2 linked regions of the Arabidopsis thaliana genome follow. The protein of the gene in region 2 interacts with the protein of the main gene of each other region in a pairwise test. Each region holds a gene or a part of one and is shown on either strand. Other genes may lie near its edges.

What was found.
Region 1: the proteins of EMB3135 (region 2) and AT1G64820 interact in a protein complementation assay, tested with the Arabidopsis thaliana proteins (one large-scale study listed by BioGRID).

What each region holds. Positions count from the first base shown.
Region 1 is NC_003070.9:24,086,747-24,091,453, reverse strand, and holds AT1G64820 (MATE efflux family protein), read right to left. Parts: upstream 2,850-4,707; coding exon 2,053-2,849; intron 1,920-2,052; coding exon 1,833-1,919; intron 1,755-1,832; coding exon 1,698-1,754; intron 1,609-1,697; coding exon 1,370-1,608; intron 1,298-1,369; coding exon 1,092-1,297; intron 1,019-1,091; coding exon 896-1,018; downstream 1-895. Other genes in the region: AT1G64830 (Eukaryotic aspartyl protease family protein), read left to right, coding at 1-183; APO1 (APO RNA-binding protein (DUF794)), read right to left, coding at 3,178-4,386, 4,471-4,644.
Region 2 is NC_003076.8:3,829,103-3,833,850, reverse strand, and holds EMB3135 (harpin-induced protein), read right to left. Parts: upstream 2,352-4,748; 5' UTR 2,082-2,351; coding exon 1,218-2,081; 3' UTR 700-1,217; downstream 1-699. Other genes in the region: AT5G11880 (Pyridoxal-dependent decarboxylase family protein), read left to right, coding at 3,909-4,411, 4,516-4,690.

The DNA of each region.
Region 1 (4,707 bases), on a different chromosome or scaffold from region 2:
GATGTGAAACTCGGCAATTTGAATACGTTTGTGGCAGTGTCTGAAGATGTGTCTTGCTTTGCATTTGCTGCAAATGAACAACTAACCATTTTTGGAAACTTGGCGCAAATGAACTTCCTTGTTGGATACGACACTGTTTCTGGAACTGTGTCGTTTAAGAAAACGGATTGCTCTCAAATGTAGCTCACTAAACCTTCTTATTCTTATTATACTACCCAATTTATTTCTTAAGAATAGTGTATTTTTCTCCTGAAGTACATGCTACATACCTATAATAAAACTGGTCTTAAATTTTTAGTGTTTGTGTTAGCGTGTAGCGACTATGTTTGCATTATCATTTTTATTTAACGTTTACAAACACATATATCATGCATAGATGTTGAAGATTTAATACTTTTAGAATTTATATAGAGAAAGAGTTATTCGTGAGAAATAAAACAAATTCTAATAAAAATAGTAAAAATATGATAGTCTAAAAAAAAAAAAAGATTAGACTACTCAATTTGTAAGTCTAATTTCTTACGAGTGACCATGTTGATCTTTTATGTATCGTTTCAACTTATGATAGTTTTCGTATGGTGTTTAATGAAACAAATACATCCAAACTTTCAAATTTTCTGTATTTAAGGAATTCATAACTTCGCATCTATCTTTAGGCAAATGGTTTTAGGTGACCTCTGTTAGTTTATGTGCATAAAATTGGATTCCAAATTCTTCTAAAGTGAAATGGGTAGTGTGTGCCCTGACAAACTTGAAATAAGAATCTATATTCTCAAGACGCATCGATCATAGAATTTTAAAATCACACATCATGCAAATGTAAAGCATCCAAGAGTAGTAATTAGATGCTAAAACGAAGGAGACCAATAGAGTTGCATTAAGTGGTTTTACACTTTTACACAGTTTCTGCAATATGATTAAGTAAAACTTGTGTATCCTCTTCTACTATAATTTGTGTTTTTTGGTTGCCTTTGACTTGAGGTGTCATCTCGAATACTCTGTCTCTAGCTTTCGTTGCCTGAAACACAAACCAAAACCAGATTCAAAACTGTAACCGTAACTAGAAGTAAAATGATTAGTAATTTATATACCTCTTGTTCCCAATTGGTGAAGAAGGTGACAAGAGCAAAAACAATGAGTTGGATAGTGGAGGCTATGAGTATACCAATCCAAAGTCCTTTCCCTCTCAATTTCATGACAAAACACAAGAACCATCCTAACGGGATTCCGACAAGATAATATGATCCTAAGCTTGCATAACCTCCTATACGTTGCCACCCTGATCCTCTGGCAACCCCTGAAATATGAAAGAATTCTTGATTTGAACCTACTTTCTTGGGGTTCAAGAAACAAAGTATAATCGTCTTACCTGAGAGCACGGCGAGAAAGCTGTTAACGAAAATGGATAGGCAGAGAATGGGTGTGATTTGGGTTGCGTAGCGAACCACTTCTCTCTCGTTGCTGAATACATAACCCCAACTTTTTCGGTAACTGTAAAGTGTGATGGTTGTTATTAATGCACCAACACCACCAAGGAAAATGGCAGAATTAACCGCGGCTCGAGCTGCCCTATGATTTCCAGCTCCTAGCTCGTTTGAGACATGTGTGCTATAGTGTTAAACAGGATAAAATAGGTTAAGAGATACTATGTTACATGAAAAAATCAGATTCTTGTGAACAATTGAAATCTATAAAACCTTGCGGATGCTCCTATCGCATTCACCAGAACGAAATGCACAGCCGATGTTGTGAGGCTGTTCCATGAATAGAAGTTAGGAATATCACAAGCTTTTTGACTGTTTGAATTATTTTACAAAATGATATGTATGTACCAAATGGATATCACCGATGTTTCGAGCTTTGAGTTTGGTAAGAGTCCAGACATTAGTAGTAGAATCTCAAACGACCACCATTCCAGGCTTTACTTACACACAAAAAAAGAAAGAACAAAGAACAAAAAAAATTATGGATTCATTGTAGATCAGAGTCAGACCAAGAAGCTTTTAAATCTTGCTGAGATTTGTTTTTTTTGGATGTAGATATGTAAATTACCATATCATCATTGCAGAGGGGATCGCGAGGGCGATGAACTGCTTCATGCTCGAGATGAGTTCTTGCAAACCAAGATTCTTCATTTCACGATGCAAAGCAGAGTATCTCATGAAAATCCAAAGCAAAAATACGTTGAGCCAATATGAAAAACCGATGGACAAAGCGGCGCCAACTATTCCAAATTTCAGTTTATAGACAAGAAGCCAACAGAAAGGAATGTGAAAACAAAGAGCTCCAAGAGAGCTCACGAAGAGAGGAAGAGTTATTCCTTGTGACTGGAAATACCGAGTCATAGGTTGAAGAAGAGTGAATCCGAATAAAGCCGGTATGAGCCAGATTGAGTATCTGCAAGCTAATTGAGAGATGAGAGGATCTTGATGGAAAATCTCCAAGAGCTTGTCCATGAAAAACCATACGATAGAGATTGAAAAACAGAAAACGAGAAGACAGAGCATTGAGCTGTAAGTGTATGCACCAATTTTTCCAAATTGTTCTGCTCCAAAAGCTTGACCGCAAAGAGTGTCTAACGCACCTGCAAACCCAACGATGAGGCTGAAACCAGTGACATTGGTGAGGGAAGTGGCAATTGCGACAGCTGAGAGCGAGAGCTCGTCCAAATGACCAGCCATAACCATGGAGATGACTTGAAGGAGGAATTGAGAAACCGAAACTGCCACCATTGGAGCCGCCATGGAGCTCACCTTCTTCATCATCTCCATTGACAAATAACTCATCCCATTCCTGTTATCTTCTTCTTCTTCCTCCTCCTTACGCACCAACGAGAAATCCGTTTCCATCATTCAGTTTTTCAGCAAAAACTCGTTGGATCAAAACATCTTTAGAATCTTTCAAGACAAAGAAATAATTTAAACAAATACCACTGAAGTCGTCTCCATTATAATTACCAGTGACCGGGTTAGTTGTCAATGATAGAGAATCAAACAAATATCTAAAATATTTCTATATGACAAGATTTCTAAAATATTTTACACCCAAATTGCAAAATACACTATATGACAAGATTTCTAATGTCTCCTACGAGGAAAGATCCTAGCTAGCCAGCTCATTTTATTTTCAGCTTCTTTATCCTAACAAAGGAGTTCTACTTTGAACATTTCCAAGGACTTATGCGACCATGTCGGCTTCCTGTGAATCAGGAACAATGATGTCAAGCCTCATCATGGCCTTATAGCGTTGAGGAACCCGAGCTCCACTGTGCATACAAATCTCAACCAAAGCAGGGGCTTTACCATAAAACCTTCTGAGGTTTCCGGTAAGCGGATTTCCCTTAAGGTCTCTCACATGCCATACATAGTTTGGAGGAAAGACTTCGTCCACAAGAGCATCTTGCCATCCGTGCTTCCCATCTCTCCATTGGTGCTTGAACTCTCCGCACAGCTTTACACTATGTCCCCATGGTCCTACATGCACTTCAGAACAATATCCGCATGCTTTCACTGTGAATTTCCTCATTAATTTCGTCACCCCCAATCTCACTTTCTCATAAGCATCCATTGTTTCCTGTGCTATCTTAGGTATATCCTCTGGAGTGGGAGGTGGATACCTTTCAAAAACACCAAGAGTATCAAGCTCGGCTAATGGAGATGATAATGATGATGATGTCTGAGGCTTTTCAGGCTCTTTATGATATCCACCTCGATCGATCACTCTCTTCCCCATCATTCTGATTGGCTGTGTCCTTCTGCGACAAGGATACTCAGGGATCTCAACTCCAGCTTGAATACATAGCTCAACAAGTGCTGGGATTCTTTCATACTCAAACCGTGTTTCATGCTTAATCCGCCGCCCGAAAGGGTCATACATGTGGTACGACTCAACAGGAATAAGAACATCGTTAATGGTACCCTTAACCCAAGAATGAGAACCACGTCGCTGTGAATTCGTTGGACCATTACAATCCCTAATGTTATGACCAACATTAGCCACATGAACCGCTCCACATTCACTACAAGCAAAGACGGGAACAACATGAAGAAGCTGTGCTAAACCCTTGATCAACAACTTCCAGTTATCTATCACTTGATCAGCCACAGGAACAAGATTGGGAACTAGCAATCCATTTTTAGGAGGATCCAACTGTTTCTCTATACCCATCTGAGCAAGTTTCTTATCTTTCCTAGCCTCTTCTTGGATTTGCTTAAAAGGAATAGGATAAGGTTTCTTCTTGTTCTTTGGTAAAATAGGAGGAAGATCCACATTCTGCGTAGATACATACCGTTTCTTAAAACTTGTCTGCTCTCTATGCTTCTGATTAAAACAAAAGACCGTTCCTAACCTCATCAAACACTCTCTTTTAGGGATTGAAGTAGGAATCTACATAAAAGAAGAAAAATCCAAACTTTACAACTTCAAGATAGGAATCAACAAGATCAAAGTTACAGGAGATGAAATGGTTACCTGAAAGCAAAGTGCATAAGAGGCTCTAGCTGAGAAATCAATTGGCTTTGGATCTATGGTCTGAAGATAAACACCTCTACAAGCAGGAGAAACCAGAAGCATGTTGACTATATAAGTAAGAACCCAAATCAGAATTAAGCCAAAAACGATTACTTTCCCAGATTCCTGCAACATTTAAGAAAATAGATGAGGATTTGATAACGATTACATGGTTTCGTAATTTCATCGAACATGGGG
Region 2 (4,748 bases):
TTACTATCATCTTCTTCGATTATGGGCTATTTTCACAAAATCTAAGAGATATGCCATAGTTATTCTTGAAATACATTGCCAAATATTTTCATTAAAGGTCTCAGAAAGTCAGAATTATACTATGCATGTCTTCTTCTATCACGTCCGTGTATGCAAGTCTTCTTTACCCATTTTATTGTCTTGTCTTTCTTTTTGGTTTGTACTTTACTTTGTACTGGATATCCGGTCACCGACTCAAATATATGCCGACGTTGGAGGTCATGCACTAAATTAGATATGATGACTTATTGTCATTTCCAAATTATTCATTTACGTCATAAACCAAACTACAAGTTTTTCTTTTTCAGTCACACCTCATACGTTATTGTCAACTTTTTTTCCTGCGGTTCTTCTTTGCCGTTTCGGGTAATGCCATTTGTCCCTTGGGCAGATTCCTTTTCCTCATTTTTGGACACACCGACATGAAGTCGTCGTCCATAGTTGGATAAGATTTCAGGAGTCTATCCCTGGTCGGAGTCACTTGCAAATGACCTCTTCAAACTTTTACTTACTTAGTTAATAAAAAGTTTCTTAGATAAATGAACCATATAATTCATCTTTTATGACAGCATGACATTTAATTTAATGTTTATATCAAACCATATTCATGAATTGAGTGATCGATCTGTATTAATTTTATAACATGCAACTGCTAGAATATATGCTTGCTTTATAGAGTACTAAAGACGATTCACGTTTCTCTTAAATGGTGTTGTATAATGCGATAGATGGTTCAACATCTAACATTTAACACATCTCTCGTGTTCTTCATTGTTCTCCTCACAAACCCCACGCATCTTTTCCATTTTTAAGGTTCTGTTTATTACTACTACGATCTCACTTTAATGCTCACTATCACGCAGTCACTGCAATCTCCAGCTTTTTAGTACTCCATTCGTTACAAGTATTACATTTATATTTCTGTATCCATTAAATATAAATTCAAGTAAGAAAGTTCCAAACAAAACAAAAATCCAAGAAATTTTTTTAGAAGCCGTGAATTCTCTGGCCTTCTTCTACTTGACAATACCTTATCTCTCTGACTCTTCTCTGAAATTTTTTAACTAACAACTGAAGAAATCTCCTTTTGGATCATTCCAAAAGTTTCACAAAATCCAGAAGAAAAAAAGAAGAAGATTATATAGAAAATTTCAATTGTGAAATTATCAAAATTCCCTCTAGAAACTCCATTTCCAGACCTTGACACTAAGATCAGACTTACACTTAGTTTTTTTAGAAGTAGCTACAATTGGAGTTTTACCTTTTGGTATAGTTCCTTCAAATCCTTCACATGTCACTTTGATCTCTACTCCTTCACTCTTCAGCTTCCCCATTATCATCTTCACTTTAGTTCTCATCTCGATCTCATATCCTACACGCGCGCGCGTCAGATCTGATCTCAGATGCTTAGCTTCATCCGGATCTAACTCACGCGCCGCTGTAGACGTAGCGATCACGCCGTGAAACGAAGTTTTGTTACCGTTATCGCTGAAGAAAGCAGGAACAGTTCCGTTACCGAGCATCGTACCGGATTTAGCTGAATTAACGGTGACGGTGAAAGGATCGTAAGAGAAAGAGAGGTGTTGGTTTGGATTCTCTGAGATTAGAGTGAAGTTGAAGAAGGAAGAGAGATGAGAGACGGAGGAATCAGAGGAGGTTGTTAGGTTCACGCGGCTGATTCTTATTGACGGGACGGAGAACGACGGCGGACGAGGGTGGTAGATCACGTACATCGCGGTGGCGGCGATTGCAGTCATGAGAGCTAAGATCAGAATTATCAGAATCGACCAGAAACAGCAACAACAGCAAATTCGTCGGCAGCTTGGTCGAGATTGGTGGTGATGACGGCGACTGTAAGGCTGTGGACGGTAAACCGGACGGTTAGCTGGAATGTAGACTTGAGGTTTCTGATTAGCCATTCCGTTTGTTGTTCCGTTGCTGGTTACAGTCGCCGGAGCTGGAGGAGGTGGTATGGAACCAACTGGTGGAGCTCCATTAGTGGCGGTTGGTGGTTTGGAAGCTGGGAAGACTCGGTCAGTCATCTTCTTCTTCTCCGGTTGTTTCTTTCTCTCTGGTCAGATCTGAGCTCACAAAAGAGAGAGAGATAGTGAGAGAGAAAGAGACAATACAGAGTTTTTGTGGAATCTTAATAGCTTTTTTTTCTGAGTTTATTTATTTATTGCTTTTTAATAATTTGTTTTTTTTTCGGTTTTCAGTTTTTCTTAGATTTTTGTGAATGTTCATGACTTCCATGCCAAGTCTGTGGAATCTTTTTATTGGGTGGTAAAATAATTAATGTAAGCTGATTTATTACTTACAAAGTGGCCCCATTTATTTCTGAAAAAATTATTTACACGTGTAGTATTTTAGTAACGAGTAATACTAAGATGTGTCCTGTGTACTCAAATTTTTCTTGTTTTCAGAATTTAGTAATTCACAATAGAGTATAATGTAATCAAATGAAGAAGAAGAATGGGCAAAAAAGAGTAACAATTAAAGATGTAATTAAATATCAAAATGACGGAAATAATAATCCACCGACACATATAGTGATAGTGGTAGTAGTTCACTAAAGTGTGCACGCAATTGAAATAAGTTTGAATTTAAGTCAGTGCAGGTTAAAAAAAGAGGAAATAATTAAATGAGTGCAGATATTGGAGTATTAATAGATTAGGGATCCGAAATTAAAAATATAATTAGAATAATCTCGATTTGGTTCAGACTTCAGAGAGTAAATCCCAAGTCAATAATTATTTCATCGGCAATGCTGCTCTGCTTTGAATTTTGTTAATAACCTTTGCTTCCGAGCTCTCAATTCCCAAGATTTAGCGTGATTAATAATTCAAGAGCTCTCTAACTATGTAGTATAGTTACCAATTATCACCCGGTCAAGTGTCCACACCATAAAGTCTTTAAAAAAATAAAAATAAATAACACTCAAGATCGATCACATTTCATTAAAAGATAACTGCATTACAGAGAAGCATTGTCGGAAACATCCACAAGTGGTTCCAACCAGCAAGGTACATAAACATCAACAATGGAAACATAAAGGGCAAAACATTGAGCCTACTTCACCAAACCATAAAAGTGTCTAGACATCCCAATAACTTATGGTAAAGTTTGTTTTTAACGTCTTACAGTCAAACACCTAAATATACATCCCACAACCATCGACATGAATGCAATTACATACATAGTCAGAGATTATATAGTATGACGAGAGAAGCAAAGTTGTAAGAATAAAACAAATCCTAACTTACAAAGGAGGCAGAGCACAAATAACCAGAAGCAATGGTTGCCAAACAAAACAAATCCTAACTAAGAACATTCCTTGCTCTTTGTAATAGATATAGATAATTAAGAGAGTATGATAAGCATAACTTCAACAAATGTGGATTCTAAAACATAACTTCTCCACAACGTGCACGGCTAGATAGAGCACTTCATCGTTAGCATTCAACAAAATGTTTTACATTATCCTCTGAATATCCGCATAATACGAACAAATAGAAGTATTGGTAGGTGATGAGAAATGGCAAATTTTTATAGATAGGGCTAGATTTCCATGACTGCTTTAGGTGACCCCTTAAGCATCAAGATTATTACAACACACAACTAACACAACCGAACAAAACAAACACTAGCAGAAACTATCCCCCAAGGACAAAAACCATATCCAAAAGAAGTTAAAATCGACTTTGTTCTTTCTTCTTTTAACCATCGGTTCGACTATAACCACCGGTTCGATATTGTCGGATATCTAAAACCGGACCCGACAGGAACTACTCTTAAACTTGTTGACTTTTTTTTTCTAAACCCTTCAGTGTTACTGTAACAGTCGCACACCTAACAAAAATCCTCCAGCCATGGCGGCAGTTACTCAATTTCTCTCCCAACCTTCATCAATCCGCGGAACCCTAAATCAGTACCAATTGAATCAGACTTCACTCTCAAGAATCCCATTTTTGTCTCTCAAGTCAACATTGAAGCCACTTAAACGCCTCTCCGTCAAAGCCGCCGTTTCCCAAAACTCCACCAAAACCCTCACGAAAGAATCTGCTTCCTCTTTCGACCACTGTTTCAAGAAATCATCAGATGGGTTTCTCTATTGCGAAGGAACCAAGGTTCAAGATATCATGGAAACAGTCGAGAAACGACCCTTTTACTTATATAGCAAACCTCAGATCACGAGAAACCTTGAGGCTTATAAAGAGGCTTTGGAAGGAGTGAGATCTGTTATTGGTTACGCTATTAAAGCTAATAACAATCTCAAGATTTTGGAGCATTTGAGGAGTTTGGGCTGTGGTGCTGTGTTGGTTAGTGGAAATGAGCTCAGGCTTGCTCTTCTTGCTGGTTTCGATCCCACAAAGTACGATTCTTTATCCCCAATAATAAAGTTTGAATATTTTTTTATTTGGTCTCATGTTGATGTGTAGTTTTTGACCATGTCTTCGGTGTGGATGAAATGAATAGGTGTATTTTCAATGGAAATGGAAAGTCTTTGGAAGATTTAGTTCTAGCTGCTCAAGAAGGTGTTTTCGTAAATGTTGATAGTGAGTTTGACTTGAATAACATTGTGGAAGCTTCAAGAATTTCTGGTAAGCAGGTCAATGTGTTGTTGCGTATCAATCCTGATGTTGATCCTCAGGTATGGTTAAATTTTCAATCTTTTAGCAGCATGTCCTAGAATCTATTCTTTAGCTTGG